3 linked regions of the Pelodiscus sinensis genome follow. The protein of the gene in region 2 purifies or fractionates together with the protein of the main gene of each other region. This does not show direct contact. Links are inferred from orthologs where the notes say so. Each region holds a gene or a part of one and is shown on either strand. Other genes may lie near its edges. The genes, in order: GPAT3, SLC6A15 and GOLGA5.

What was found.
Region 1: the proteins of SLC6A15 (region 2) and GPAT3 purify together in Homo sapiens (co-immunoprecipitation; 3 studies listed by BioGRID and IntAct, counting the BioPlex papers as one, with this or other methods). This does not show direct contact. The link is inferred for Pelodiscus sinensis from reciprocal best matches to the Homo sapiens genes SLC6A15 and GPAT3.
Region 3: the proteins of SLC6A15 (region 2) and GOLGA5 purify together in Homo sapiens (co-immunoprecipitation; 3 studies listed by BioGRID and IntAct, counting the BioPlex papers as one, with this or other methods). This does not show direct contact. The link is inferred for Pelodiscus sinensis from reciprocal best matches to the Homo sapiens genes SLC6A15 and GOLGA5.

Annotation. Positions count from the first base shown.
Region 1 is NC_134715.1:11,955,855-11,965,654, reverse strand, and holds the start of GPAT3 (glycerol-3-phosphate acyltransferase 3), read right to left. Parts: upstream 4,608-9,800; 5' UTR 4,589-4,607; coding exon 4,358-4,588; intron 1-4,357. UniProt on the Homo sapiens protein: Converts glycerol-3-phosphate to 1-acyl-sn-glycerol-3-phosphate (lysophosphatidic acid or LPA) by incorporating an acyl moiety at the sn-1 position of the glycerol backbone.
Region 2 is NC_134711.1:74,517,035-74,527,400, reverse strand, and holds the start of SLC6A15 (sodium-dependent neutral amino acid transporter B(0)AT2), read left to right. Parts: upstream 1-5,785; 5' UTR 5,786-5,984; intron 5,985-6,173; exon of another isoform or gene 6,174-8,364; intron 8,365-10,366.
Region 3 is NC_134714.1:30,347,425-30,356,920, forward strand, and holds the start of GOLGA5 (golgin subfamily A member 5), read right to left. Parts: upstream 4,143-9,496; 5' UTR 3,611-4,142; intron 3,122-3,610; 5' UTR 2,997-3,121; intron 2,110-2,996; 5' UTR 2,060-2,109; coding exon 1,498-2,059; intron 1-1,497. UniProt on the Homo sapiens protein: Involved in maintaining Golgi structure. Stimulates the formation of Golgi stacks and ribbons. Involved in intra-Golgi retrograde transport.

The sequences.
Region 1 (9,800 bases), on a different chromosome or scaffold from region 2:
CCTTGTGGGGAGAGGAATAACTCTGCTGGAAGAAGCCCTGTTTTACAATGCTATACTGTAAATTTACTTCTGGAAGAATGCTCGTGCAGTGTAGACAGCCAGCAAGTTTTTGCAGAAGAACGGCTGTTCTTCCACAAGAAGCTGCCAGTGTAGACGTAGCCTCACTGTTAAAGGTTTGAGGTTATTGCTAGTCAAAGTTCCTCTAACTTCAGCTTCTAGCCACTGGATAACATTATACCTTCATCTGCTAGACAAGTAAACACCATTCTAAGCTGTCCATAGTCACGTCACTCCAGACAGTCTCTTCTCCTATATATTTGAAAGAGTTTGTCCGTCTGTATAAGAACTCCTAATTGGTAAGAGCCAGGACCACCAAATTGGATATACAGCATCCTCTTATCCTAGCAAGGTCAGGGGTTTGGTTGTGCCAGAAAATGGGATGTGACTGGAATGGGCTTGCTTCTCATACAGAAAAGAGACAATCACACAACAAATGAAAGGGGCTGACTAGTGGTGCATCCCTCTACCATATTCAGGACCACTCCAGCCCTGAGCCGTGCACCCCCAGGTGCACTTTAGGAAGGGTGGTGGGGAGCTGAAGCTTCCCCCATATTACAAAAACATTGCTGGCTGTTCCCCTTCACCAGGAAGCGAGGGGAAGTGCACAATTTGCTGCATTCCTCACTCTGGCTGAGGAGTGCAGGGGGCAGAAGAACCGGGACCTGCCCCAGCCAGGGGACATGCACCCCTCCCCCGGCTGTGCCTGCTGGAGCTGCAGTGGCCATGGAGAGACACGACTCACCTGGCCCCAAGCTGCTGAGAGGGCAGGGATAGTCCTTCTCTCCTCAGGCCAGCCTGCACACTGAGCCCCTCGTCCCCAACCCTACCTAAGAGCAATGGTTGAAAGCATGTACATTTTCATTTTATTTTATTTTTAAATTGAGTTAAGGACCCAAGCAATGCCGGGCAAATCTTCTAATGGATACATAAATAGCTTGAGCTGATTAGTCTCTCACGCCAGGTCAGGCTTTCCAAATGCTAGATCATTTTTACAGCTCTTTTTCTGAATCCATCTAAGTTGTCAACAGCCTTTTTAGGACGACACCAGAACTGGACACAGTACTGCAGTAATCAATTCACTAGTTCCATATACAGAGTAACGCCTCCCTGGTTTTATTCAGTGGTCTCCTGTTTACACACATGAGGACAGCCTTTGAGAGTCAGTCCTGGCACCACATCACCAGCCCATGTTCAGCTGACTCTCCCTCATGCCCTCCTCTTAGCACACAATGACTTTTGCATCACTGCTTTCCAAGCAACCGTCCCTCATCCTAGCAGCAGGAAACACATTCTTTGCTCCTAGAAAGTATCACCTTCCAGCTTAAGAGATGTGCAGTACTCAAGTCAGGCCAGTTTACCAAGATGGCCTCATTCTTCTCTACAACTGGTGAAGTGGCAAGTGACAGATACCTCTGAGTCACCTCAATAACTAGTGCTGGGTTGTGGGACCCCCACTAGAAATAACTCATCATGTATTTAAAGTTATTCTGAGATCTAGCTGCCAGTATTAAAAAACCCATTTAATAGGTGCTACTTTTTGGCATAGCACAAAATTCAGAATGTTGTGTGGTCCCACGCCAGCTTCCGTAAGGCATCAGAACACATTATCTCAGCAAAACTGGTAACCTCACAGAACAGCGCCGAGTGTAACTAGATCCATTTTCTATAAAACCCTTGTTGAGTGGCATGAAGCGAGGCAGCATGAGTTACTGGATTGATTCCCAAGATGTCCTTCCACAATTTTGCCTTGGACTAGTGTTGAGCTTCACAGCTTCTGATTACCCAGGTCACCCTAGTTACATTTTCAAGAGGCTGGTACAACATTAGCTCCTCCTTCCCCTTTGCTCTTCTAGAACTTCACACACATTCCACCTTCAGCCCACCCCTAGCCAGCACTCTCCTGGAGAGGTCGATTTCCATAGAGGAGGAAAATGGCAGGGGAAAAGAAGGAGTTCAGCCCTCACAAATACCCCATTTAGAAGACAGGAAGCTGAACTGCTGTGCAAATTCATCACTTCAAGAAGCTGTGTGTGTGACCATCCGTGCCAATACTGTGAGGATTTAGGTGCCAAGTGACTGAAATACAGCACAACAGGAGGCAGGGTGGTGATTTACATCACAAGGAGTCTGATCCAGGACATCCTACTGAAGTGCCAGGGACACGTCAAGGCAATATAAAGTAAGCTCCTATCCCAACAGAGATTCTTGCTTCATCTGGGAAAAGTGAGGCAAGAAGAGCATTTTTTAAAGTTTAGCCTTAAGAAAGTGCCCCATAGAACATCAGAACTAGATTTTTCTCTCAGTAGCTGCTTGGGTATCTATCATAGTGCAGGACTGGTTGGACAACCTACTTGGGAGGTGGCAAACACATGCACCCATTCTTTCATCAAACTAATTTAAAAGTAAGTTAACCTTCCCCTGTTGGATAGCATAGAAATTTAGGAAATATAAGAATTCAATAGACAGCAAGACTGAGATTCAGAGCTGATCACCTAATTATAACTCATAAGTAGCTTGGCACAGAAGACTGTTGTCAGAGGTTAAAAAGAAGAGGAAGGCAGAATACTGCAAGCAAGGTACATGATGTTCTTACCCTTCCCCATCCAGGGACTGGATATCAGCCTACAACAGGGCTACTCAACTTTGAAAGCTACAGGGGGCCACAACGATACTCACAACACATGCTATGGGCCACAAATTAAGTGTGATTGCATATACATGCAAATAGCTTCTTTCACACTGACAGGCATGAATACAAATATTAAGGCAAGACTACACAACATGCAGGCCACATTTAAATCAGTTCTTCTGATATTAATAAAATGCAATATTTACCCAATTTCCACCCATATGACAGCACTTTTAATGAGCAATGGAATTCCAGGAATTAATTAATGAGTAGTTCCAGGAATTTAACTATTAAAATGTATATCAACAGAAGACCATTATATGGACTACTTTTTTGTTTTGGCTTCACAACGGTCCAGGCATTTAACCAGTGTTGTCTTCAAGTTGCCATTGTCAAGTCCAAGTCGAGTCTCAAGTCTTAATTTAAAAAATGTCAAGTCGCTTTTGTACAAGTCATCAATATCGGCATTTTAGGACAATTTTTTCACCAAGTTGATTTAACAAAATTAGCAAGTCTCAAGTCGAGTCTCAAGTCACAAACAATGAACCCGAGTTGAGGCTCAAGTGGAGTCACCTAGGCGACTTAAGTCAGACTCAAGTTTAAGTCATGAGACTCGAGTCAACAACTCTGAATTTAACTACTAAAAGTTATCAACCCAAACCACACCGTAAATCCAAACTGCACTGCAGGCTGCAAACAAACAGGCCGCGGGCCGCATGCAGCCCATGAGCAGTGCGTTGAGTAGCCCTGGCCTAGAATGTTGATGCCTGACAAGGGTTCCCAGGGGTGAGTACATGCGATTTTAAAATAGTCACTGGCTGTTGGAGCTTTTACAGTCACCGTTGACTATTATGCTATTGCAAGTGTGGATGAACACACAGCAGAACATTTTAGCAAGGAAACTGATTTTGTTGGTTCAAACTGGCATGAAGTGACTCTGAATTTGTGGAGTTTCACAATAGTTTCTTTTTAAGCAGGAGCTGACCTCCTTCACTGACTATGCAGGCCGTTCTTGCTATAAGTCCAAGGTATATTCCAAAAAACTTGGACTGATAGTAAAACAACTTAAAGGGGGTGAATTTTTTCCCCACAGCTGACTTCTATTTGTACTGATTGGGTTTGGGGTGGGGGGGTTGCATGACTCAAGAGCGGGGAAATAGGAGGACCTAAAATGCATCCATTCCTATAAGCAATGACTTGTAGTGTGGAACGGATGTATACTGGGGTGACTTATAGTGGGGATGCCCTGTACTTCACCTGGATATCTCCTGTATGCATAGCGGGCCTGTCAGGTCCTTTATTGGAGCAGTGGCAAGGGAGACATTTCATGAGACCCCAGGCGCAACATTAGCTCGGATTTACGATTGTAAAACACAAAGCATTCCCAGGAACTAGTGTTCTAGTCTTGACTAGCCAGCCTTTGGCAGAGGGACACGTTTTGCAGAGGGAGAACACACCCTCCTGAGTTAGAGAAACCGATTCACACGGATTCACACGGTTAGAGAAACCGATTCACACGGAATAAGTGTTTATGCCAAAGTCACAGCAGATTTACTGCCACAAACCAGAAGATTTTACTGGAAACATATTAAGGACGCTGAAATACGCAGCGCCCCAGCCTCTCGCCCCCTTTTATTAAGTAAACACTTTTAAGGGCCACCAACTTACCTCCAGGGTCTTCACTAAAATTCTCATGTAGAACTCAGAAATGCCCAGCGACAGTCCGAACACGGAAGGCAGCACTATCAGTGTAAACGCCAGAGTGAACCAGACGGACATGACTTGGGCTGCAATCAGGAGAAGGCCCTCCATGGTGGCTGGAAGCTCCGCTCCAGATGCGAGTCTCTCCCGCGGCTTCCTGGATCCCCTCTGGCAGCTGAGGGGCAAGAGGAAAAACATGGTCAGAGCCCGAGAGCGGCCCTTGCCTCCGCCACCCTCCTGCTCCACCTCGTTCACTAATTCTGCTCCGGAGCCAGCCAACAGCTGCAGGGAAGGAACAAAAGCGGGTCACGACTGCAGCACGTGGGGGAAATCCAGCGGGTCTACCCAGATGAGAGGAGGTGGGGTCGGGGTCTGTGCCCCCCTCGGGTCCCATACGCTTGGAGCGGCTACCGGGGGGCACTGAAGAGGGAACCCAAATTGCCTGTGGCTCACGCCCTCTCCCAGGTGTAACTGACTAGGCTTGAGTGCAGAGCTAAGGTGGGTGAGGTAACAGCAGTTTCAATCGCATCCTGCAGCACAACAATGCTCGGGCACACACGTATGCACCTCTGGGCTGGGGACACAGCGAAGAGACCCTGGTGGATTGTCCCCAGAAAGTTTCCTGTCCTTTTTCCAGGGGGAGGTGTTTTTTACCTTCAGTAGCAGAAAAGGGGGAGAGTAAGAGGACACTTCAAAAAATCGCGTTAAATCTATCAAGCCCGTTTCGAAGAAATCCCCAGCACTTTCAAAGTCCTCAACCTACTTCCAACCTAGTAACTTTAATGAGATTCCCCTCTCTTCGCTGGTTTTTCCTCCGTCTCCCCCAGGTCCACATAAGGCCTCGAGATACGCGTTTTTCAAGATAATTCCCCTCATCTCATAGGATCATTCAGACAGCATATGGTTGCCTTGCAGCTAAATTAGCGCCTCTGAGATCCCTTCTCTAAACAGGTATGCGGGCCAGAAAAGTTTCAACAGCCACAGCATGCTAAGACTTCTGGAAAGGAAGCGAGCACAAACACAAGACCGGGTTTATAAAGAGAACATGAGTGATACATTCCTTGCTAAATGTCTAGAAGGGGCTTCTCCTTCTTGGAAAAAAATAACTGCCAACAATTCAGCCTTTAGCTCGAACAGCAACTTTAATTTTTAAAAAATGGCCTTAGGCTATTTTACCATTTTTTAAAAGATAAATGAAAACATACAGCACTAAGCAAAACACTTTAGCTATGCATTTAACTCCTAAGAAATCAACCTTTTAAGAAATCAGCTGTAAATAATTTGAATGGTCATTACCCTGAATTATAATACAATAACTACATAATTCTTACCTGTCTCAGGATTTTCTACACAAAGAGTATTAAGGAAAAATATACCAGGCGAGGGCTGGCTCATGTATATCTTCTGCTGCAATCAACAGACAGGAAAAGTTATCAGCCTTTGTGTACCGTAATTCACTTAGCAGAGAGACAGTTTTACCATAAACTTTGTATTACTCCAACCCCAGCCTAGTCTGGGTTTTTTTGTTTGCTTGCTTGCTTGCTTGCTTGCTTGGACTTTCGTTTGGTTTTTGTTTAAAAAAAAAAAAGCATTCTGCCTTGTAGGAAAGAGAAAATCAATCGGAGAGAGAACAGAGAAGGAATAGCTTAAGGATAATTACAGTTCTTGGGATAATAATACAAGTAATTATTAATCATACTAAATGAATGAATGAATCATCAACACAATGAGTTTATAGGGATAGCTTTTTATCTGTACACATCAAACCACTCCATTATGGAGGAAAGTAACATTTTTCCAGTTTGCAGTAAACTGGAGAAACTGAGACCAGAAAAAATATTAAGTGACATGCTCAATGACACATAGTGAATTTATGTCTGAGTCGGTGACAGATGTTCTGACTCAGACCCTGTAATTAAGGAGGGGCATGATAAGACCATTTGTTTTCCTTGTTGATTTGTATCCACACCCTGGTAATCCTGGTGGAATGGGAGTTGCTGTGATTTTTTACCAAATCTGGATTTTGCAATTGGAAAAATACAATTTCTCAAGGCAATGGTTTATACAGACATGAAAAGAGCCTAATCTACTTGAATAGATGGCTAACTAGACTGCAGCAAAGAAAAGAGAAGCTGCCGGCGTCTGGGAATTTTTTTTTCTATTACTATATTTCTCTGACAATCAGGATCCAGAAACTCCTAAAGAGAAACCCAAAAAAATACACAATTCAATCAACTGGTTGTATTTATATAATATTACTGTGAAGTTAAATTCCTTATGAAAGCTAGTACTATTCTGAACCTGATTATTGTTATGAGATATGTACACAAACTGTAGTTAGCAATGTATGTATTTATATATATAAAATTGTGCTAATAATTTGTGCTGTATCATTTTTAAAAGTAAAAATTTAAAGGACATATCAATAATTGACTAATCAGGGATAGAGCTCTGTGTGAATGCAACATTTGTATCCACATCTGCATCTGCAAAAATGATCCTCAGATATCTCATACACTCATACATATCTACATGCGGATGGATACCTGTGGATATAAAGTGGATATCTGCACATTTGCAGGGTTCTAGGTACAAAATTTACTTCCTGATCCGTATCCACAAAAATGAGCCATGTATATCCACATCTGCTGATGCGGATACTTGCAGATATTAAGCACATCTCCACAGATTTGCAAGGCTCTATCCATGGACACCGAGGACTTCACAATGGTCTCTAAACACACACCAGGAACTTGACACATGAGCATGTCAATGCTTTCCTGCACAACAGGCTTCATGGTCGCGTTGCTATAGCATCTGCACAGGCAACCAGGGCACTAAAAGGTGCAAGCACACTGCCTCCCCGCTATCTCTCACAAGAGGGGAGGGTGTAAAGGAATGCATTCTGGGACGTTGCCAACATGAACCCCTAGCTACCTGCTACCGAGTTTTGTACCCAGTGGGCACTGTGCATATGGCCCAGAATGCAAAGCTGCCCATGGTCCTCAGCTCTCTGCATCGACAGTAATGTTTCAGACAACATTTGATTCTTCCCCACAGTGAGGACACAGACCTCTGACTTCACAAAATCGGATGGTAAGATCTTCTCCCTTATCTTGTGCTGTAGACCTGCCCTAAGTAAGGTGGTGAAAATGCAAACTCAAGCTGCTATTTTATAATTTGGAGGGGTCTCCCTGCCCCTCACCACACACACACCTTGGATATTTCTTTTAAATGAGCAGAGCATCAATACTGAAGCAGAAAAAAATCAATTCTGCTTTTGATTTGTTCTTGGATTCTTCTTTTTCTCTAGGTACAGTACAGAAAAATATGCCCAGTCATTTGAGAGTGTCCTGATAATTACAGAGGTGCTGGCAAAGCCCTGTAATAAATGATGTTAAAGTTCACTCTCAGTGAATAGCTTGCATTCTGATCAAAGAATAACTGGTTGTTAACTACAAAAAATTGCTGACTTGTAAAGAAACTGCTCTCCTTGCACTATGGCCTTTCTCTAAAAAAAAAAAAACGCTAGCGGTTATAAACCTGCACTTGCGGTGATAAATCATTTTCAAACTTGTTCCAACCTTACATTTTATCTGTAGTCTGTGTGGGAATAAGGCATATTTATGTCACACTGTTCTGAACTAATTGTCATTTAGGCTAAGCCTAGCCTAGCTTGAATTAGCAAAACTATTTTGCAAACAAGGACTTTCTGTCTGAAACCCTGTGACTAGAACCTTATCTTGAGTAAATCTGCATTGCTCTATTGTAGTTAATGGGACTATACTAATTTTTGCAAGATGGAGATCTGGCCCCTAAATTAAATGAAGCTGGAATTCTCCATAAAACCTGTGACACTAAGGCTATGTCTAGACTGCAAGCTTTTTGCACAAGAACCTTTTGTCAGAAGATATCTTCCACAAAAATTTATTGCGCAAGAGCACATCCACACTGCAAAAGCGCATCGAAAAAGCAAAAAGGCTTCTTCCTCGTAGAAAGAGGAATACCAATTGCACAAAAACTTCTCTGTTCTTTCGATGTACTGTCAATTTACTGTCAAAAGAACATGCTTGCAGTGTAGATGCTCTGTGAGTTTTTGCAGAAAAATGGCTGTTTTTCCGCAAAAACTCTGTAGTGTAGACATAACCTAAGAGACTAGGTACCACCTCATGCCAAGGACCTCATGTCTAAACTGAACATTAACAGATATGTAGGGAATCAGTCTGGCATACTTATGTGTCAGTATTGTTACAACAGATATTAGGGTTGGAATAATATTTAATGTTTAGATTTTATGGAATGCTTGTGAGTAGCTAGATGCATTAATCTGTATCCCATAACATAAGGTCATATCTAAGTGGTTGCATTGTGAACCTCTGGGACTGTATAAATCACCAGACTGAAGAGAAACATTAACGGCTGTGAAGTGCTAATCTCCCACAGAAGGTGTCATGTCCTGACTATTGACTCCAAACTATTGCAGACATTAAATAGGACAAAAGACACTGGTTGTTTTACCCTCCTCGGTGAAGATGAATGATGCAAATCGATTCCCCTTGCTAACTGAGTTTGCTGCTCAGACAACAAAAGAAAAGGGCAATAAAAACCCCTCTGAAGAAGGAAATGGATCTCTACACTGCTGAGACTTGCAGAGGGGAAGGTTTACTAAGCATAAGCAAGAGATCCCTAGTGCACATGTTCCTTCCCAGCTGCCAAACTGTCTCATATGCTCTTAGCCTTTGCCCTTGGATAGCAAGACATTGTCCCCTTCTGCTGCCCCCAGAACTGCATCTGCTGTAGTACAGTAGTTTAAGCAAAATAATTGGTGGAGAGGACTCCTGCCTTCTGTTTTAGCTCTGTCTTTGATCTGTTGTATGATCTTGAGTAAATCCCAAGAAAGTCTCTATGCCTCAATTTCTCCACACGTAAACTGGGGATAACAACCCTTACCCATCTTACATGGATTTTGTAAGGCTTACGTTTATTAATGTTTGCTGACTCAATCTCAAATGTGGACAAGCTTAGCACAGTGTTTCTCAACCTTTTTTTTATAAAGTACCCCTTTAAAAAAAATTACCTACAGCTTTCAGACGCAACATTTTTTTTCCACCATTGCAACACATTTGTTTAAACAACTTAAACATCTTATTTCATAGAGGGATAAGGGATCTTTCGGAAAAGGCTTTATTTTCCGCAAGATCCGCATCTAGACTGGTGCTTTTTTCTGACAAAGCTCCGTGCGTAAAAAAAGCAGCAGCCATTTTTATGCTAATGAAGCGGGGGAGATTTAAATCCCCGCTTCATTAGCAATTGTGATACGTCTAATTTACATCCCTTTTACGAAAAAGGGATGTAGTCTAGACGTAGCCAGGATGTACAACTCCTATAAAACTCTACCTCTCATGTTTTG
Region 2 (10,366 bases):
ACTTTGCTGTGTAGACATACCCTAATAGAAAAGTGCCATCTTTGCTTAACACATTTTTTGAGTGCCCCCCCCCCCATAAAATATTATTGCCCATCCCTGGGGAGAGCTGGTAGCACTTTCTAAATGTCATTTCCTTCTGTTACTTATAACTTTGTTGAACATCAACCATTCAACTTGAAGTTTTCCAAGTCAGATATATGCCTTTAGCTGAATATTTCTGGAGAAGTTAAGACAAAGTGATTCAGAGTCTTCCCAGAACTATGGTAGAGAAAATTATCTTATTTTTCCCATGCCAATAACTTCAAGAAACCTTTCTTTGAAATTCTCTAGAACTCCTTGTTTTGGAGCATGGATTTTAATTTTTGCAGTTGGGTCTATGTTAGAATGATATTGGAGTCTGTGCATTATCTCCCTTGTCTAAATCCAGATTGCTGTTTCCGTATGATGGTATCCATCTGTCCTTTCATTCTAGTCATGATGACTGTTGCTAACACTTTTCCTATGACAGACAAAAGTATTACTCCCCTTCATCTTGAGCGATTGTTTAGATCACCTTTCTTTAGTAATTTGATTATGATACCAAGAGTCCATTCTTTCACAATTTCTCCTCTGTCCATATGTTGTTGCACAACAAACAGATGACTTATTCCACATCTTCGTCTCCATATTTAAGCATCTCAGTATGAATGATGTCCAGACCAGGTGCCTTGTTATTTTTAACTTCTGCAATGTTTACCTTAAATACATCTATATTCTAAGTCTGATGGTTTATCATTATTAAATTCCAGTCTTATAATTTGTTATGGTTTGTTTAGCATTTCTTTGAGGTGTTCAACTCCTCTATTTTCTTGCTCCTCCTTTGTTTTCAGAATTTTTCCTTGTTTTCCTTTCTTTGGGACACTTCTGAATTTCGAGTCATACCCTGTTAACTGTTACAAGATTGTGTAGACTGTTCTTGGAACTGCTCCATCAATAGGATGGTTCAGGATGGTCACCCTAAGCTCTGTGCTTTGAAGGGCCATGTCATCCTATGGGTCAGACAGTCCACCATATTTGTGTTAGTCATGGGACTCAGAGCAGCCTGGAGATTACCTGGGAGGGCCTGATGTGGAGCAGCAGCAGGGGTCAGGCCCCCCTGCAGTTACCACAGTGGTGGGAGCCACAGGAAGCAGAGTGACACAGGGGTTCCAGCCAGGTAAGTCACTCCGCTTCACCTTAGCAACATGAGCTCAGAGGAGCAAAGCTGAGAGAGCCAAAGTGCTCCACAGCAGAGCAATCTAGATGGGAGATGGGCAATGGAGCAGAGCAGGCTGAAAGGTTGTTTCACTTCCCATGACTCCTGCTGCCATAATGACTGGGTTACTATCCAAGCGCATAGCTTATAGGAAACACTGAATAGAACCCAAGGTCTTTGGGCTCAACATTCCTCCATTGTCAGTGAAATCTACTGATGAAATATGTGTTCATTCCCCATTAGTGCTAGCTCATATAAAGGAAGACAACACACTATTTCTATTATAGCTCAGTTAGCTCAAGTGGCAAAGGCATATGGGGTGGATCTAAAGTTTCCAATCCTGCTGATGTGGTTGTCAACATGATGTCACACAATGGAATTTCAATTTTTTCATTATGCTTTTTATAAAAATATAGAAATTACACACAAATTCTCCTGATCATCTTAATTTGCCCCCCCTTGTGTTTATGCCTTGCAATACCATTTTAAATAACATACTCACATACGATTTTTTTCCACAGGACTCCTGCTTTATTCTGTGTATAGAATGGTCTTGATGCAAGGATGAATCAGGATTATGTAATAAATGAGGTTGTTGCTTGTAGGGCCTTGCCTCATTTGTTGTAGAATTTGAAGGGTATATGGTGAATGAGGCAGGCATAAAGGGAAGCAAAAGGGTAGTTTCATGACTAATATTATCCCTGCCTCTGCCACAGAAGTTCTGTGTGATGTTAAGTAAGTCATTTAATTCAAGCTTTTCAGAGGTGGTAATTCTCTGTGCTCATTTGCTGCATGCCAGACTTAATATCCTGAGGTTTGACTTGCTGCATTTGCAGAAATGCTGAGTATTCACAAATTCAACTGCAGTCATTTGAATGCTTTGCTTCAAAGTGCCATATAATGTGAAGCACTCTGAAAACTCAAGTCTTAGGTGTCTCAAATAGGGCACTCAAAATTAGCAGATGTATCTCTCTGTGCCTCAGTTCCCCATCTGTAAAATGGAGATACTACCCCCTCACCTTCAAGGAATGCTGTGAAGATAAATTAACTGTGGAGCACTCAGCTACTATTCTGAAAAATACCATTAAAAAGGTCATGCAGAGGAAATTAATAATTGATCTTCATAACAGTGTTTGAATAGTTTGCAGTAGATAAGGCCCAGGAGAACATGCTGAATAGTAATGAAAAAAAATATTGACTAGCACCTCACACAAGGTACGTCTACATTGCATGCTTATTTTGAAATAAGCTATTTTGGAAGAAACACTCTGAAATAGCTTATTTAGAAATAGCACGTCTACACTACAGAGAAGCCTCAAAATTAGTCAGAGGCAGGCTTCCCTAATGTGGACATACTCACTTGATTTAGAGACCCAGCAGGCACTGGGGAGTAATTACTGTGAATGACCCTGGGGAGGAGCTATTTCAAAATAGCAGCAGTAGAGCATCCACACTACTGCTATTCTGAAATAGTTATTTTGGAATCATAGAATACTAGAACTGGAAGGGACCTTGAGAGGTCATCAAGTCCAGTCCCCTGCCCTCATAGCAGGACCAAACACCGTCTCTAGACCATCCCTGATAGATATCTATTCAGCATGCTTTTAAATATCTCCAGAGATGGAGATTCCACAACTTCCCTGGGCATTTTATTTCAGTGTTTAAGCACCCTGATAGTAAGTTTTTCCTAATGTTCAACCTAAACCTCCCTTGCTTCAGTTTAAAACTGTTGCCTCAGAAACCTCAGAGGCCAAGGAGAACAATTTGTCTCCCTCCTCCTTGTGACACCCTTTTAGATACTTTAAAAGTGCTATCATGTCCCCTCTCAGTTTTCTCCTTTCCAAATTAAACAAGTCCAATTCTTCCAGTCTTCCCTTGTAGCTCATGTTCTCTAGACCTTTAATCATTCTTGTTGTTCTTCTCCAATTTCTCCATATCTTTCTTGAATTGTGGTGCCTAGAACTGGACACAACTGAGGCCTAATCAGTGGAGAGTAGAGTGGAAGAATGACTTCTCGTGTCTTGCTCACAACACTCCTGTTAATGCATCCCAGAATCATGTTTGCCTTTTTGGCAACAGTGTCACATTGTTGACTCATATTTAGCTTGTGGTCCACTATGACCCCTAGATTCCATTCTGCAATACTCCTTCCTAGACAGTCACTTCCCATTCTGTATGTGTAAAATGGATAGTTTATCCCTAAGTGTAGTACTTTGCATTTGGCCTTATTGAACTTCATCCTATTTACCTCAGACCATTTCTCCAATTTGTCCAGATAATTTTGAATTATGACCCTATCCTCCAAAGCAACTCTTCCCAGCTGCAGCCCTCCCAGCTTGGTATCATCTACAAACATAATAAACGAACTCTCTATGCCAATATCTAAATAGTTGAGAAAGACATTGAACAGAACCCATCCCCCAAAAGACCCCTGCGGAACCCCACCTGTTATGCCCTTCCAGGATGAATGTGAACCATTAATAACTACTTTCTGAAAAAGTTATCTGGCCAGTTATGCACCCACCTTATAGTAGTCCTATTTAAGTTTTATTTGCCTAGTTTATTGATAGTAAGATCATGTGAGACCGTCTCAAATGCCTTACTAAAGTCTAGGTATACCTCATCCACTGCTTCTCCTTCATCCACAAGACTCGTTATCCTATCAAAGAAAGCTATCAGATTAGTTTGACATGATTTGCTTTTTACAAATCCATGCTGGCTGTTACCTATCGCCTTATTTTCTTCCAGATATTTGCAGATGAATTTGTTAATTACTTGATCCTTTATATTTCCTGGCATAGAAGTTAAACTGACTGGTCTGTAATTTCCTGAGTTGTCCTTATTTTCCTTTTAATAGGTGGGCACTATATTTGCCCTTTTCCAGTCTTCTGAAATCTCTCCTGTTTTCCATGAATTTTCAAAGATGATAGCAAAAGGCTCAGATACCTCCTCCATCTCCTTCTTGAGTATTCTAGGATGCATTTCATCAGACTCTGGTGACTTGCAGACATTTAACTTTTCTAAGTAATTTTTAATGTGTTCTATTTTATTTTATCTTCTAAACCTACCCCATTTCCACTAACATTCATTATGTTAGGCATTCCTTCATCATCAGTTTTCTTGGTGAAGACCAAAACAAAGAAGTCATTAAGCACCTCTGCCATTTCCAAGTTTCCTCTCCCTTTTCACTGAGTAACAGGCCTACTCTGTCCTTGATCTTCCTCTTGCTTCTAATATATTTATAGAATGTCTTCTTGTTACCCTTTATGTCTCTAGCTAGTTTGTGTTTGCTATTCTTCATGGAATAGGTGTTATTCCTCATGGAATAGACACTATTCCTCATAGAATGAGGTTTACCGAACTTGGAATAAGCCATCCATTATTTCAAATTTAATTCAAAATAACAGAATTGCTGTGTAGACACTCGCATTGTTATTTTGGAATAACGGCTGTGATTCTGAAATAACGCTGCTGTCTAGATGCACCCTCAGTGAGCATCATCTATCCTGTGTACTGAATGAAGAAAAAGGTCCTGTAAGAAAAACAGTATGTGATCATATAATTAAAACTGTATTATTATGCATATTCACAAGAGAACTAAATTGATGTTTCACAGTGAAATGTCTCCCTGCCAATATATTGCAGTCCTTTAGAAGTCACCTACCATATTGCTGCAGAACTCATGCATTTTAACATCTGATCTTGAATTTTCGAATGTAATGCTCTTCATGATCAGAGCACACCTCAGGCCTCCATCTTGCTATTTTCCCAAATCACCTCTTCACCTCAACTCTTCCATTTTCCTACTGCTTCTTCCTCACTCCATCATCCACTGCTCCAGTCCTAGCACAACTACTCATCCTCGCTCTCCAGCCCCATCAATTCTACAGCATACAGCTGGACTTCTTCCCTGCTACACAACTCATCTCCTCCACATCCTCTTATATGTACCGTTCGCTGCTTACACTCTTGTATTCTTCCATCTCTGGGCATCCACCCTTCTTTTATGAGTATGTCAACCACAAAACACAGGTACCTGCACACATCCCTTCCCCCTGTTGCCTTACTGATCCCAATTTTCCATTCCCCCTGGCTGCAGCGGAGGTGGTGGGTCTGAGCTAAGGGCACAGTAAGAGCAATAACAGTTTCACTTTCCCATAACCCTAGGGCAGACATGTACCTTGCAGTTTTGCACTGAGGGTGCAGTAGTGGTAGCAAAGGGGAGGAGGATGAGAAGATGTCCATTGCCTTTGTGAGACAGGGCAAGGAGCACACTGCAGATGGCATGGCCAGTTCCAGGCAGGAGACAGGGTGGGGCCAGCTGGGGGCTGCTGATAATTCCTGAACACAAACAGCCTAAACAAACAGGTTGAAGGACCACCCGGCAGCTGAGCGGAATGGAGCACTAGGGGTCGCCGCCTTTCTCCACACCCCTCCCCACACCATCGCCCCCCATCCCTGGCTGAACAAGGAGAATGCAACTGCGGGCGGGTGTTGCATAGTTTCCTCTGCGTCAAGGGAGGTGCGGCTCCACTCCCTCCCCCCCTTCCTCTCCCCCCCCAGCCCTGCCTTCCCTCCTTCCACCGCTCCCCACCCCCTCGGATATTTTTTGTCCGCCTTTAAGCCGCCTCTGCATAGGACAGCTGGGCATATGTGCGCCAGCATCTCGGCTCCGTCACGCTCATTCATTCACTCCAAGCACCCAGCCTCTGCTGCAGGGCCTCGCTCCGGGGGCCGCCCCACAGGAAAGGTAGGTGAGGCGGCCGCACCGCCAGGCAGGGGGGGATGGCGGAGGTGGGTGGAGGGCTGGACGGGAAGCGGCAGGAGTCGCCATAAGATGCTGGAGGCTTTAGCCCTCCCGAGGCAGCGGTGCTTTAGTGTGCGCTCGTCAGCTGGACTTGGGGGGCTGAGCGGCGGAGGGAGGGGGGGGGGGGAGAAACACATGGTGGGGAGCCACGGTTTGTCTTGTAGATTAGTGCCAGTGGCGGGTTTGTGGACTGTAACGAGAGATCCCCCCCCCCACTCCCGCTGCTTGTCTATAGACAAGGGGGGGGGGGTGTCTTCCCTCCCGGCGTTTCCTCCGTTGCGGGCACCAGGAGCATTGCCACAGACTCATCAATCCCAAGGAGATACCCCTGGCTGGATTGAAAGTCGCCTGGTCGGTGGGAAAGTCGCCTGTCGTTGCCCTTGGGGAGACAGTAGTACGGCCAGATGGAAGGGGGCGCCGCGTGCTTTGTTTCAGTGGGGGGCGGCTTTTTGTTTCTCTTTTGGCGGGGAGTTCCTTTCCCTCGTGTGAACGAACCCAAAGCGTTTCCTTCGGGTCCTGCCGGCTTCAAAACGCCTGGGTCGCCTGCGCGTGTCTCCAGCTCAGGGAAGGACCATGGCATCTGGAGACATACGTTTCTGGATGTAGCTATTTCGGTGGCTCCAAGGCGTATTAGCAGGGAACTGCCTGATCTTAATCAGGGATGAAAGGATGAATAGCGCCGGTCGCGCTTGTAGCGGTTCCCAAATCGGAATCTCTCTAATTCCGGACTGCGACTGGAGGAGAGATTAGGGAAATAACCTCAGAAGGCAGGATCTGCTCAGAGGAGGCGATTGTCACATTAGTTTGGAGATCGGGGTCTGGGGCCAGGATCTGAGATGGTTTTAGCAGTGGAAAGGAAGAGGTCCGGATGCTGTCTCATTCTATGTAGCCATGCAGCTAGTGATCCGGCTGGTGCGTGCTCCCTCTTCCCCCGCCTTCCGTAACCCAGTCTGGCTGGAGTAACTCGGGGGAAGGCACCAGGCTTGGTCTTCTGTGATGACAGCCATGTTTGGGTGGCTATGTTAATGAGGATCTCTCCTCAATTTTTTTTGGTCTTAGATTCCTCCCCCGTCCCTCCCCCCCGCATTTTAAGGCTCATACATCCTTTCCAGCGCACATATACACAAATATATTCTAAGGGAGAGGAGAGATTCAGGCCCATCATTTTCATGCTGTGATTGGACTCTGCGGCTCTTGGATTCCTTTGATAATCCTCCTTATTGCCTACATGCTCCTGTAATGTTTTCCTTTTGGGGCTGCTAGTATGAGCATGAATTGCCAGCCATGCAGTGAGGTTTCGCATTTCTCTGTCTTGCTTGGATTTGATAGAGGACGCACATAGGGTTAATAGATATCATGCCATGATGCGCATAGGGATGCAAAGGAATGTAGATTTCAGTTGCTCCGAATTTAATTGTATGTGTTAAATGTTAAATCACCGTCTTCTATTACTGTGGGAATCAGCCATTTTAGATTATCTGGTATTTAGTATTGCTACATATCAGTTGCGGTGGGTGTAGGAGCTTTGGTATAGGAGAGAGCCTATTTTCAAAACACAAGTCTTCAAAACACTGTCTTTCAAACATAGTCTTTTAGGAGGCAATCATTACTTTTAATAGAGGATAAAAATGCTGTTTTCTTTTGTTTTCTTTTTCCCTCAAAAATGCAAAAATCAGCATGCTGAACAATAATGATTTTCTGAGAGTCAGGTGTTACATCAGACATTAAGCCTGTGCTAAGATATGTTCCCCAGACAACTTTCTCGCTTTGATAAAAATGACAAAAGCTCCTCATGGTCCTTGTGTTTCAACTTTCAAGACATCTATTTGTATTGGGTTTTTTTTATTAGAAAGGAAATTTAGTTAACTAAATGTTAGGATACCCAAATCAGGATTTCTCCATTTTGGATTTCTTAGCCATTATAGAAGTCTTGAATTTATAAATGGGAACAGTTAAGAAAACATCTTCTTGCATACAGACTGCTCCCTAGAAGGTCAATACTACACTCTAACTACAAGAGGAGGGCAACTTCCTGTTGATTTTGATCTTAGAATTCAGAATTGGGTTCTTTCATAGAGGTTCACATGTGCCAGCAGCAGTGAAAGTAAGAAGTTGCTGATGCAATTCAAGTTGCTTTTGCAGAATACAGCTGATGCATTGATTCATAGATTCCAGGGCCAGAAGGGAACACTGTGACCATCCAGTCTGACCACCTGTATAGCATAGGTCATAGGTCACCCCAAAATATTTGCATATCTTTTAGAAAAACAGCCAGAATTGATTTAATAAATTGTAGGTGATGGAGAATCCAACACAACACGTGGTAAGTTTTTCAAATGGTTAATTACTCTCACTGTTAGAAAACATATGCTTTATTTATTGTCTGAATTTGGGTTCTCTCTATTTGAAAAGTGTTTGTATCTTTTAATATTAAAATACAATATTTTCCTTCATGTTCTTTCCCATCAAATACCTCATTGTCATCTTCTTTGGATAACTATCTCATGATGTAAATATCAAAAGCAGTTTTTCAGACAAGTGATTTGACAACCACATGTTTCCGTGAAGGGGCTTTCATGTTGTGAAATTATTTTTGCTGAGTTACAGAGACTTTTGTCCTCACTTGCTGTTTACCATTTCAATCCTCTTTATGCAAAATAATACCTTGTCACCACTTAAGTATTAAGTTCTATAAAATCTAATATGAAATTACAGTTGATTGAATTAAGATATCTGACTAAACCACTTTAGTTAATGCGGGCTTTTAGCATTTTTGGTCCTTGGGAAGAGTTGGTAACAATCCCTAGATTAACATTGCATACCATGTTGTCCAACCAGTTCTGATTACTGCTATAGCGAACTAGTCACGCTTACCTAGCCAAATAGCCACATTGTTACATTGTTCAAACCAAACAGTCACACTCAACCAGCCAAATAGCCACATGTGGCTATTGGCTGGTGTGTTGGACACCACGGGCCTAATAGTTTCTATTATAAAATATTCTTGTGACTTTTTTTTAGAGAAATGCTAACGTATCTACTGTTTGCTGCAGGCCTCAGTTATTGCTTTATACTGGGATTTAAACATCCAGATGTCTAGAATGAGGCAGTAGTACACATGCTGAAAGGCAGGGACATAGGTGCTTAAAGAAGTTTTGCTGCAAAAATGTAGGTGATGAATGAAATTAGACAGTAGCTGAACAAGGTGTTTGTATTTAGTAGTGGTGCATTTAGGTGCTTAAAGTAGAAACTAGGAAGCTAATTCTCCATGTGAATCTGGCCCCTTTGTAATATTTAAAATACCTTTATTTACTTTCCTACCGCAACTAAGGCTCAAGGAATAAGGGTTTTTGCTAAGCTTTTTATCATAATGCAAAGGCAAACTCATGATTAGGGCAAAAAAAGGAAAATCCATGTACATTTGCTTTTGTGCCTTGTGTTGACCAGGTGGATGTTTTCGTCACTACATGTCCATTGCCTTCCTCCCAATTACAATTGAAGGCGTGGAGACTTAAGCAGGAGTGCTGAAACAATTTCTATAGCAAGGTGCTGAAAGTCCTTGAACAGAACTGTAAATTCTATATATCAGAGTTTCCCAGAGTGTGCTCCATGGAGCCTTGGGCCTCCATGCGATTGGTCCAGGGGCTTTGCCAGAAAATATCAATGACAATTGTATAATCCTATTATTTTGTAACTAATTTTCTGGTTGTTTTCTTGGGGGAAAAAAAGAATTTATAAGAAATATACAAGAAATAAAAACAGAATACCAAAACTTTGTCTATTTATTTGAGTATCTATTGACTTAAAAATCACAATACTTAAAGGGTTCCTCCATATTTTCAGGACTCCATAAGGGTTCTTCAGCTGAAAACATTTGGGAAACCCTACTCTATATTATGGAAACCAATTCAAGCTAAGTGGTGCAGAAGCATTCCCAGCAGCACTAATTCCAGCATCTATGGACTTATGATAGTAAACTATTAACCATGAGTGAGATACCCATAGAAAATGATCATAAAGTATGTGACGTCTTTGCTGAATCTAACGTGGAATTTTCTGTAACAATGTCCATATAAACCTGAAAAAGATTCTATCCAGAAAAAATGAACATGATGCAGGACTCATTCAATAGCTCCCGAGTTGTGTGTCACTAATGGGGTCTATCAGTTCTCCTCTCCCTCCGTTGTGGCATGAGAGCCCTAATATTTTCTATCCAAGGAAAATCCACGCAGATTGGGTACCCTACAAGACAGTTCTCCAGAGGCCTAAAAGGGCCACCCAGAAATACTGATGAATTAAGAATGAGCAAGCCAATAAAGAAGGCT
Region 3 (9,496 bases), on a different chromosome or scaffold from region 2:
CAACAGAAGAGCTGGGGTTAGCTCTAAGGCAGGGTTTCCCAAACATTTTGACACGGGGACCAGTAAATCCATTCATGAGCTTTTGGAGGACCGGTAACATATTTGCATATTCATTAAGCAAATGATGAATATTCAAATAAGTTGTTTCTGGTCCTCCCAAAGCCCCCAGTGCCAGCTTTAGCAAAGCTTTTGATACAGTCACCCACAATATTCTTGCCAGCAAGTTCAGGGAATATGGATTGGATAAATGGACAGTAGGATGGATAGAAAGCTGGCTAGATCAGGGTTTCCCAAACTTTTTACTTTAATTGGAACCTGGTTATTTTCCAGTACAGTTTTTGCAGCCCAAAAATATAAACGCATATAAAAAATAATTAAAAATGAATAAATGTTCAGTGATTCACCCGGCTGCATCCTCTGCCCAGCCTGGGCCAGGGCTTCAGGGACCTGGTGCCGCACGGGCACTGCAGGAGGCAGGAGCAGATTGGGGGTAGGGTATCTGGCTAGGGTGCAAGGAGGGGTAGGGTTGCCAGGTGTCCAGTTTTGTACCGGACTGTCCAGTTTGAGGGCTCTGTCTGGGAAACAAATTGAGAAAATACCAGACATAAAATGTCCGGTATTTTCTAATTAGGCAAGTTTTATTATAATTAGGTGTATCAGTCTGTAGCTGCAAACTGCCTGGCTGGTAGATGTGCTCACGCTGCGTGAGTGTATCTACCAGCCAGGCAGTTCGCAACTACTCGAGGTAGGGTATTGGGAGGTGGAGGGGGTGGGGTAGCCAAAATGGAATCCCCAGAGCCGGACTCACTCGTGTGCCAGGGTTTACATGTGCCTGGGTCAGTCTCGCTTCCTGCTGGCCGATTCACTCCCCACCCCACGCTTCTCCTCCCAATCTCCCCCATTCAGCCCTGCTTCCAGCGGCCAGTTCCCCCCGACTCCCCACCGATCTGCTCTGGCCAGCCCTGCTCCCCCCGACAACCCTCCCAACCAGCGCCGCTCCCCCAACTCCCTCCCAGCCGTCTGATTCTCCCCTGCTTCTCCTCACGATCTCCCCTGGCCGGCCGCACTGCCCCTGTCCAGCCCTGCTTTCAGAGGCTGGTTCTCCTGTCCTCCTCCTCCCGATCTCCTCCGGCCAGCTCCCGCCTCCCCTGCTTCCTCTGTGTGCTCCTCCAATCTCTGCTGGACAGTCCCGCTGCCCTCAACCCTGCTTCCTGGCAGCTGGTTTTCCCCACACACACACCTCCTCCCAGTCAACCCCGCTCCCCTCCCAGCAGCCATGCTGAGGCCCAGTATTTTTTCCCCCGGCCACAGCCCATAGTTTGGGAAACGATGGTCTAAGGGGTTCTTGACCCCCAACCATGTTATCATTACTCTAAAACACCTTTCCCTCCTATTACAATCTATTCCATTTACTGTCAGTAAATTTGTTACTCTTCACATAATGTGATTTTTAAATATGCCTAAGTTCAATAAACATCTATAGTTCCATATAGCTACCATGGCTTGGACTCCTGATAGAATGGTCTTCAGTAGTTTTTATATTTTGTGTACTTATAGGCACAGAATTAATGCTTGAATTCTGAGAGTGATTTTGAAGAACTGCCTTGTTCTTTTCCTTTTTAGGGTCCATCCTTCCATTAGTTCCTTTCTCAGAACTATTGAGAAAATCAAACAGAAGCTCATCATCAGGTTCAGACTTTTTCCTTCTCACAAACTGGGAAGAAGGTCTGGGTATGGAAACACTCTCGGCTGGAGGAGAGCCCTCTAAAGGCGTCCTGGCTGCTGCTTTTACATTTGCAGTTCCAGCTAGTATTGTAGCTTTCTGGTGTATAATATTATCAGCTGCAGTTGAAATATAGTCTGCTTTAGATGATGTTTGATATGTTAATTCTCTGGTTTGCTGGTGCAGTTCAGGATATTCACTAGCAGACTCCAAATCCGTATTATCATATATTACTTTCCCTGTATTGTCTTTTTTGCTCAAAGCTGTTGCAGCTCCTTGATCGACTCTGTTGAGAAGGTCCTCTGCCTTTCCAGCAAGATCAGCAAACCAAGACATAACGGATGTCTAGTGACAAAAGCTACAGAGTTGAACCCCAAAAGCATGAGCTGCAAAGAGACACAAAATGGTTACAAATCAAATATATGTTGATTTGGGTTTTTGTTATGAACTACAGTTTTGTCCTTGCTTCATTCTTTACCATGTTATATTACTAGAGTGTCCAAATCAAATGTTCTTACAGGAAAATGCAGACCCAGGACAGTCAATTTTTTTTGTAAAGGTTCAAATTTTCATGGTCAAGGTACTTTTAAAAAATAATAATGAATAATAAGTAAATAAAAAGACTTTGGGGGTCTGTTAAAAAAAAAGTCTGCCAATCCAGATTTGGGCTATGGACTACCTATGGACGACCCCTCCTAGTAGTAGTTTTTGCTACTAAACCAGCAGAGTCATTTAGGGCATCAACACCTGCTAGCAGCAGTGGCAACCCCAATGATCTCATTCCAAGAGGATCAGAGGGGTAGCCGTGTTAGTCTGAATCTGCAAAAGTGGCGAGGAGTCCTGTGGCACCTTATAGACTAACTGAAATGTAGGAGATTAAAGTATAAGAAACTGGCTGGAGAGGGAAATATGAAGCAATGTGGATAACCACAGGAATATAGTATAAAAAAAGTCTATTTGACACTAGAAGATTTATCCAGTGTTGCTCAGGACCTTTTTCTGGGGGGGAGGGAGGCTGGAAAATAAAATGAAAAAAGGTATGGGCTTCATTGAAATCATTGCTTTAGAGTGGGGCTGAGAATGAGGGGTTCAGTATGCAGGCTGCCTTGGAGAGAGAGGACTACACAAGTCCTCTCTCACCACAGCAGCTTGGGGCCAGGTGAAAAGCCCCTCCAGCCCCTTTTACCTGTCTGGTGATTCTCTTTTCTGTATGGCTTAATGAGAAGCAGTCCCATTCCAGGCACATCCCATTTTCCTGGCAAAACCAACTTACCTTGCTTTAACTTACGATAAGAGAAAACTGCACACCGAATTTGGTGGTCCTACACACAAACAGACTCTCTCAAATCTATAGCAGAGGTGGCATGCAGACCTCTCCAGAAGCACTGGCAGGAATTCCTGCCCAACACAAATGTTGTTGTTCGAACTAAGTGTAACTCCTAAACTTGTGGACGGTGTGAACCCCTTTAACCGTGCTGGAGAGAAGGGCCCATATGGGCACAAAGAACCGGACTTTGAAAGGCGAGAACCTCAGCTCTGGCTAGGCACCCAACTACCTTTAGCACCATCGCTGGTCCTGACGCCCTGTAGGCTGCCAGCCATGACAGTGCTGCGAGGGGCGGGGGTGTTTCGTGCCCAATACGAGCCCACAGCCCTGCCTGGACCCTGGAGGAGACCATGGCGCAGCGCTGTGGACCCGAGTGAGGGGGCGGGGGTAGGGTCGGCACCGCAGCACAACACGCGGGAAGGAGCAGAGGCTCAGAATGGGGTGTCGCCCTTCACCCTACCCCCCCCCCGCGCACACCAAGCCCTTCCCATCCCCCCGCCGAGTGCCCGCCCGCGCCCCGTCTCCCGCGTAACTAAGCCCCAACACAGCCCCGGCCTCACCTTGTCCCGGCGCCCGCCGCCCGCCCTGCCTCCGCAGGGAGCAGCCGGCCGGGTGCGGGGATAAATCGGCGGCGGAGGCCGCAGCGGCTACATAGAGGCCGCAGGCCGGACTCGGTAGCTCAACTCCATCTTCCGGGAGACGTGGCCAGTGGTTCGGCGGACACAGGGACCCGGCGCTCCCCGGACCAAGCTGCCAGATGCGCAGGCGCGGCAGAACCAGCCTCCTGTGGTACGGAGGCTCGGAGGGCCCAAGGCTAATTCCCCCCCCCCGGGAAAGGAGGGTCAGAAGGAGGCCACGCCCCTTGCCATGAGATCCCGCCCTTTCTAGAAGGGAGGGGCAAAGACAGTCAGAGAGAGACTCCGTAGCGTTTCCAGCGAGAAGGGCGGAGCTGGAACTGCCGCAGACTGTCAGCCTCTGTGTACAGCGCTGACAGAGCATGCGCACTAAACCCTTTCCCGCAGCTCTGCTCAACGTGACCCCACTCTCTCACACGCCCCTCCCACTCGGTTCAGGGCAACCGGTCTAACGCCCATATACCCTCGCCAGTCGCCCCCCCCACACACACATTCACGAGGCATGACGCAGAGCAGCCTCTAGCGGACGCTCTGCACTCACAGAACTTAGGTGCCCCCGGCCGCGCAGTATCGTGCCGCCCTGGTGCTGCAACACTCCTGGCGGGGTTACCGCGACACTTGCTGCGCGCTTCCTTTTCCAGGCTTCACACCGCGCCAACAGCCTGTCTGGGCTACCGCCCGGGTCCCCAGCGCTTCCCGCTCTTTCTCCCCAGGCTCTCCTGCAGCCTCTAAACAATTGGGGAGCCGTAGGCGTAACCGGGCTCTCAATAATGTTAACAATTAATAGGGATAGGTGTCACTTCCGGATTGACCAGCTGTGGTTGTGGTGCTTAAATTACAGTGTACGTCGAATGGCGTTTGTTACTTAATCCTTATTTTTTGTCATGTTTACCACTGCCACTTGGAACGCAACATCAGCATAAAAACACATTCTTGACTAAACAGCGCCAAACTCAGGCAACTGAATCATTGTCACTTTAGAGACACACAAACATGCAGTGTGTGGGCACGCTCACCCACCCACCCACCCCCACACACCCACACACACACACACACACACCCATTGCTCATGCACAACCTGCTCCTTTGGCCCAGCTGCCTCTGCATGTTCCCCTCCCAGTGAACCTTCCCTGTTCACTCTCCCTACTGGGGGCTGGACAGTCAGTGCTGTGTGCTGCACGGGTGCTCAGGAAGCAGCTTCCCATGCAGGTTAGAATGTGGCCCCTATGTCCTGAGGCCCGCGTTTCTGGGGCAAGTCTCTTATAAGCAGGGGCAGCCCTAGACTAGCTGCCAATAACTGGCGCCCTAGGCGAACCATGCAATCGGCGCCCCCACTTCCAAACCTCTCAATGATATTGCACCTCCATTTGGCGTCCCATTTAACTTGGCGCCCTAGGCAACCGCCTAGTTCGCCTATATGGACTGGCCACCCCTGCTTATAAGCTAGTAAAACTGAAATGGCCCCGAGCTGGAACTCTGCTGTGAGGGTCGGGAGCTGCTGTCCTGCCCTTCTTTTAGGCAGCCCCATTGGGGAAACAGACCTGGTTGCACAGAGCACCTGACCTTGTGCAACATTTCTCTGTGCCCCCTAGAGGTTGGGAGGGGAACAGCAACACCAAGCTATCTATGCTTCCAAGACAGTTTTCCCAGCTGTGCTGTTCCCTGAGGTATGGAGAGCAACTCTCCTGCCCTCTTACACAGCTCACTTGGGGAAACTGACCTGGATGCATGTCACCACTTGCTCCTGCAAATGATCCTATGGGGAGGAATCAGGGACAAATAGAAGGGAGAAATCAGTACACACACACCTCCGGCCTTGGTGATGTACCCAGTTGGGAGGCAATTAGGGTTGCCAGATACTTTCACAAAAAATACTGAACATAGCAGGAAAAAAATTGGTTGAGCCAAAAAAAAAAAAACCCCCACACCAAAAAAAGGGTCATTGCACCTTTAAAATTTCTGAAGTGGCCCCATCAAAAATTATTGCCTACCCCTGTGCTAAAGCTTGCAAGCTTTGAAGCAAGGACCTGAAACATAGAAACAATGGAATCTGGCTGTGCATGGGAGGTGCCGGCCCCTGGGAGTGCAGCATATGGGTGGCCCCGCCCCTGGGGACGCGGCGTATGGGTGATGCCAGCCCCTGGGCGCACAGCACATGGGCGGCCCTGCCCCCGAGCGCGCGGTACATGGGCTGTGCCAGCCCCGGGCGCGCAGCACAGGAGCAGTGCTGGCCCCAGGAGTGCGGCATATGGGTGGGCCTGGCCCGCCCCTAGGCACGCGGCGTATGGGCGGTGCCAGCCCCTGGGCGCCCAGCACATGGGCGGCCCTACCCCCGGGCGCGCAGTGCAGGAGTGGTACTGGCCCCAGACATGCAGCGCGTGGGTGATGCCAGCTCCTGGTGTACGGCACAGGAGCGGCGCCGGCCCCAGGAGTGCCTCACATTGGTGGCACCGGCACTGGGCATGCAGCGTATGGGTGGCCCCGACCCCCAGGCGCCCGGCAGCCGCAAAAGGTTGGGGACCACTGACTTGGGCTATTTCTACACTGCAGGCTTCTTGCGCAATAACTTTTTGCGCAAAAGTTCTTGCGCAAGAGCGTGTCCACACTGCCATATGCTTTTACATAAGAGCATCCATGGCAGTTTGTGGTCTCTTCAGGATCTTCAGGAACTTCAGGATCTCTACCAAGCATTCATAAACCTCAATTACCCACCTGGAGAAATAAAAAAACAAATTGAAAGAGCCAAAGGAATACCCAGAAACCATCTACTTCAAGACAGACCCAGGAAAACCAACAATAGAACATCACTTGTCATCACCTATAGCCCCCAACTTAAACCCGTCCAATGCATTATCAATAAACTACAACCTATATTGGAACAGAATACTACACTCCGAGAGGCTCTGGGAGACAGACTCATAGTCTCCTAGGGTATGTCTACACTTCCACCCTAGTTCGAACTAGGGTGGTTAATGTAGTCAATTGAAGTTGTAATTGAAGCCCGGGATTTAAATATCCCGGGCTTCATTTGCCTCTTGCCGGGCGCCACCATTTTTAAATCCCCGGTAGTTCGGACTCCGTGCTCACAGCTACATGCGGCACGGAGTAGGTAGTTCGAATTAGGCGTGGAACGAGGTGTAACGGTAGTTCGAATTAGAAAGCCTAATTCGAACTACCTACTCCGTGCCGCGTGTAGCCGTGGGCACGGCGTCCGAACTACCGGGGATTTAAAAATAGCAGCACCCGGCAAGATGCAAATGAAGCCCGGGATATTTAAATCCCGGGCTTCATTTGCACTTCGATTGACTACATTAACCACATATTAGTTCGAACTAGGGTGGTAGTGTAGACATACCTCCATAGACAACCACCTAACATCAGGATGATTCTTACCAACAACCACAGGACATATCACACTGTTACCAACCCTGGAATTTTCCCTTGCAATAAACCCTGGTGGCAGCATTGTCCACATATTTACTCTGCTGATACCATTATTGGACCTAACCATGCCAGTTACAAGATCAAGAACACATATTCCTGTTCATCCAGAAATATAATTTATGCCATCATGTGCCTAAAGCGTCCGTCTGCTATGTACATTGGACAAATGTCTCAGACACTTCATCAAAGAATCAATGCACACAAAACAGATATAAGACTCTCTCGCAGAGAGAAAGCTGTTGCCTGCTATTTCAGCCAGACTGATCATTCCCTTAATGATCTTAAAACATGCATATTGCTTCAAAGAGGCTTTAACTCCAGACTTCAACAAGAAGCTTCAGAATTGTCATTCGTGCTTAAATTTGACACTTTATGTATGGGTTTAAACAAAGACTCTAATTATCTCACCCATTACAAATATAGCTTCCCCAATTATCACCCCTAATGTCATTACCTCACAGAAACTTACCTTCCCCTCTCTTCCCCACTCTGTTCTAAAATTCGATTTGTCAATTTCACATGCATTAATTTTTTTGATTGTATCACTTTGGTATATATGGTTGTGCTGATTTTCTTCCACATATTGATCTGAGGAAGTGGGTCTGGCCCATGAAAGCTCATCACCTAATAAACCATCTTGTTAGTCTTTAAAGTGCTACTAACACGGCTGCATCTCTATCGCTATTCCACACTCCATGGATGCTCTTACACAAGATGCCTGGGGCCGGCGCCACTCCTGCACTGCGTGCCCAGGGGCTGGGGCCACTCATACGCTGCATGCCTGGTGCTGGCGCCACCCATGTGCTGCACTCCTGGGGCCAGCGCCGCTCCTGTGCCGCACGCCCAGGAGCTAGCAGCACCCATGTGCTATGCACCTGGAGCCGGTGCAGCCCATGTACCGTGCGCCCAGGGGCTGGCACCGCCCGTACGCCACAAGCCCAGGGGCCAGCACAGCCCTTGTGCCGCGCGCCCAGGGGCAAGGCCACCCATACGCTGCACACCCAGGAGCCAGCACCGCCCATGCACCACGTGCCCAGGGGCAGGGTTGGCCCCGATCATTCGGTGGGCGCACAGAAATGGCCTGGTGAGCACCATGGCGCCCGCGGGCACCGCGTTGGGAACCACTGGCCTAAGTGTTTTGCCCAGGGTCACATGGGATATCTGGCAAAGCAGGGAACTGAACATAGGGTTACTAAATCATAGACACTATCTAATCATGGAACCAGCCTTTATTCCCATGGTCAATACATACTCTCCTGGTCCTTCAGTCATTCCCAAAATATATTTGCCCAACCCCAGTCTGAAAAGTACACAACTTATCTTCCCCAAATTTAGTCATCTATTAGTTCTACTTGGGTGTAATTCACCTGTAATGAACATTACAAGGACTTTCAGCCAGATTCCACTGTTTCTATGTTTCAGGTCCTTGCTTCAAAGCTTGCAAGTTCTAGCACAGGGGTAGGCAATAATTTTTGATGGGGCCACTTCAGAAATTCTTGAAGTGGCCCCGGGCTGCCCTGGAAAGAGTGGGGCCTCAAGCAGAAGGGGCAGGGCCAGGACACTTCCTGCTTCCCCATCCACAGACCCTGATTGGTCTGAGGGTGGGGAAGTGCACGAAGTCTTGTCCCCCCCTCTCCCGGAGAGAACCACCAGCAGTTCTGAACAGCTGGTACCTGTGCCCCTGGTGGTGGAAGGAGACTTCATGTTTGCACCCCTGCTGCCCCAGGTCAATCAGGGCCTGAGGAGGGGGAGCATGTGAAGTCTCTCGTTCTCTGCCCCAGCCTTGCAAGAAAGCACTGCACTTAGAGTCAACTGCCCACTGATCAGCAGCTGGTGGTTGACTTTAAGTGCTGAGACCCTTTCAGGGTGGGAGGAGACTTCACCTGATTGGCCTGGGGGTGCGGGTGGGGGTCCAGCATTTTCTGATTTTTTTCCCAGCCAGGAGGTGAAAATACCGGGTGCTTACCTGGTTCTGCAGGGGAGCTGTCTGGCCCAAAGCAGGAAGACAAGATAGTGTATGACTGCTGGCAGCCTGTTAGGGCCAAAGAACCTCATAAGCATTTCTTAAAGGGCCCATGATGGATTTTCTTTTCTTTTCTTTTCTTTTCTTTTCTTTTCTTTTCTTTTCTTTTCTTTTCTTTTCTTTTCTTTTCTTTTCTTTTCTTTTCTTTTCTTTTCAAGTCTTGGGGTCTTTTTTTTCCTTAAGAACTTTGGTCTCCCCCTTTTTTTTTCTCAACAGAATTTTTTCTCTGTGTTTTTTTGGGGGGGATGGGGGAGACAGGGAGGCATGTTCAGTATTTTTGGTTAAACCATCTGGCAACCTTTATCCCAGAAACCAGCTATAAGCTAAACTCCTGGCAAAGAGGG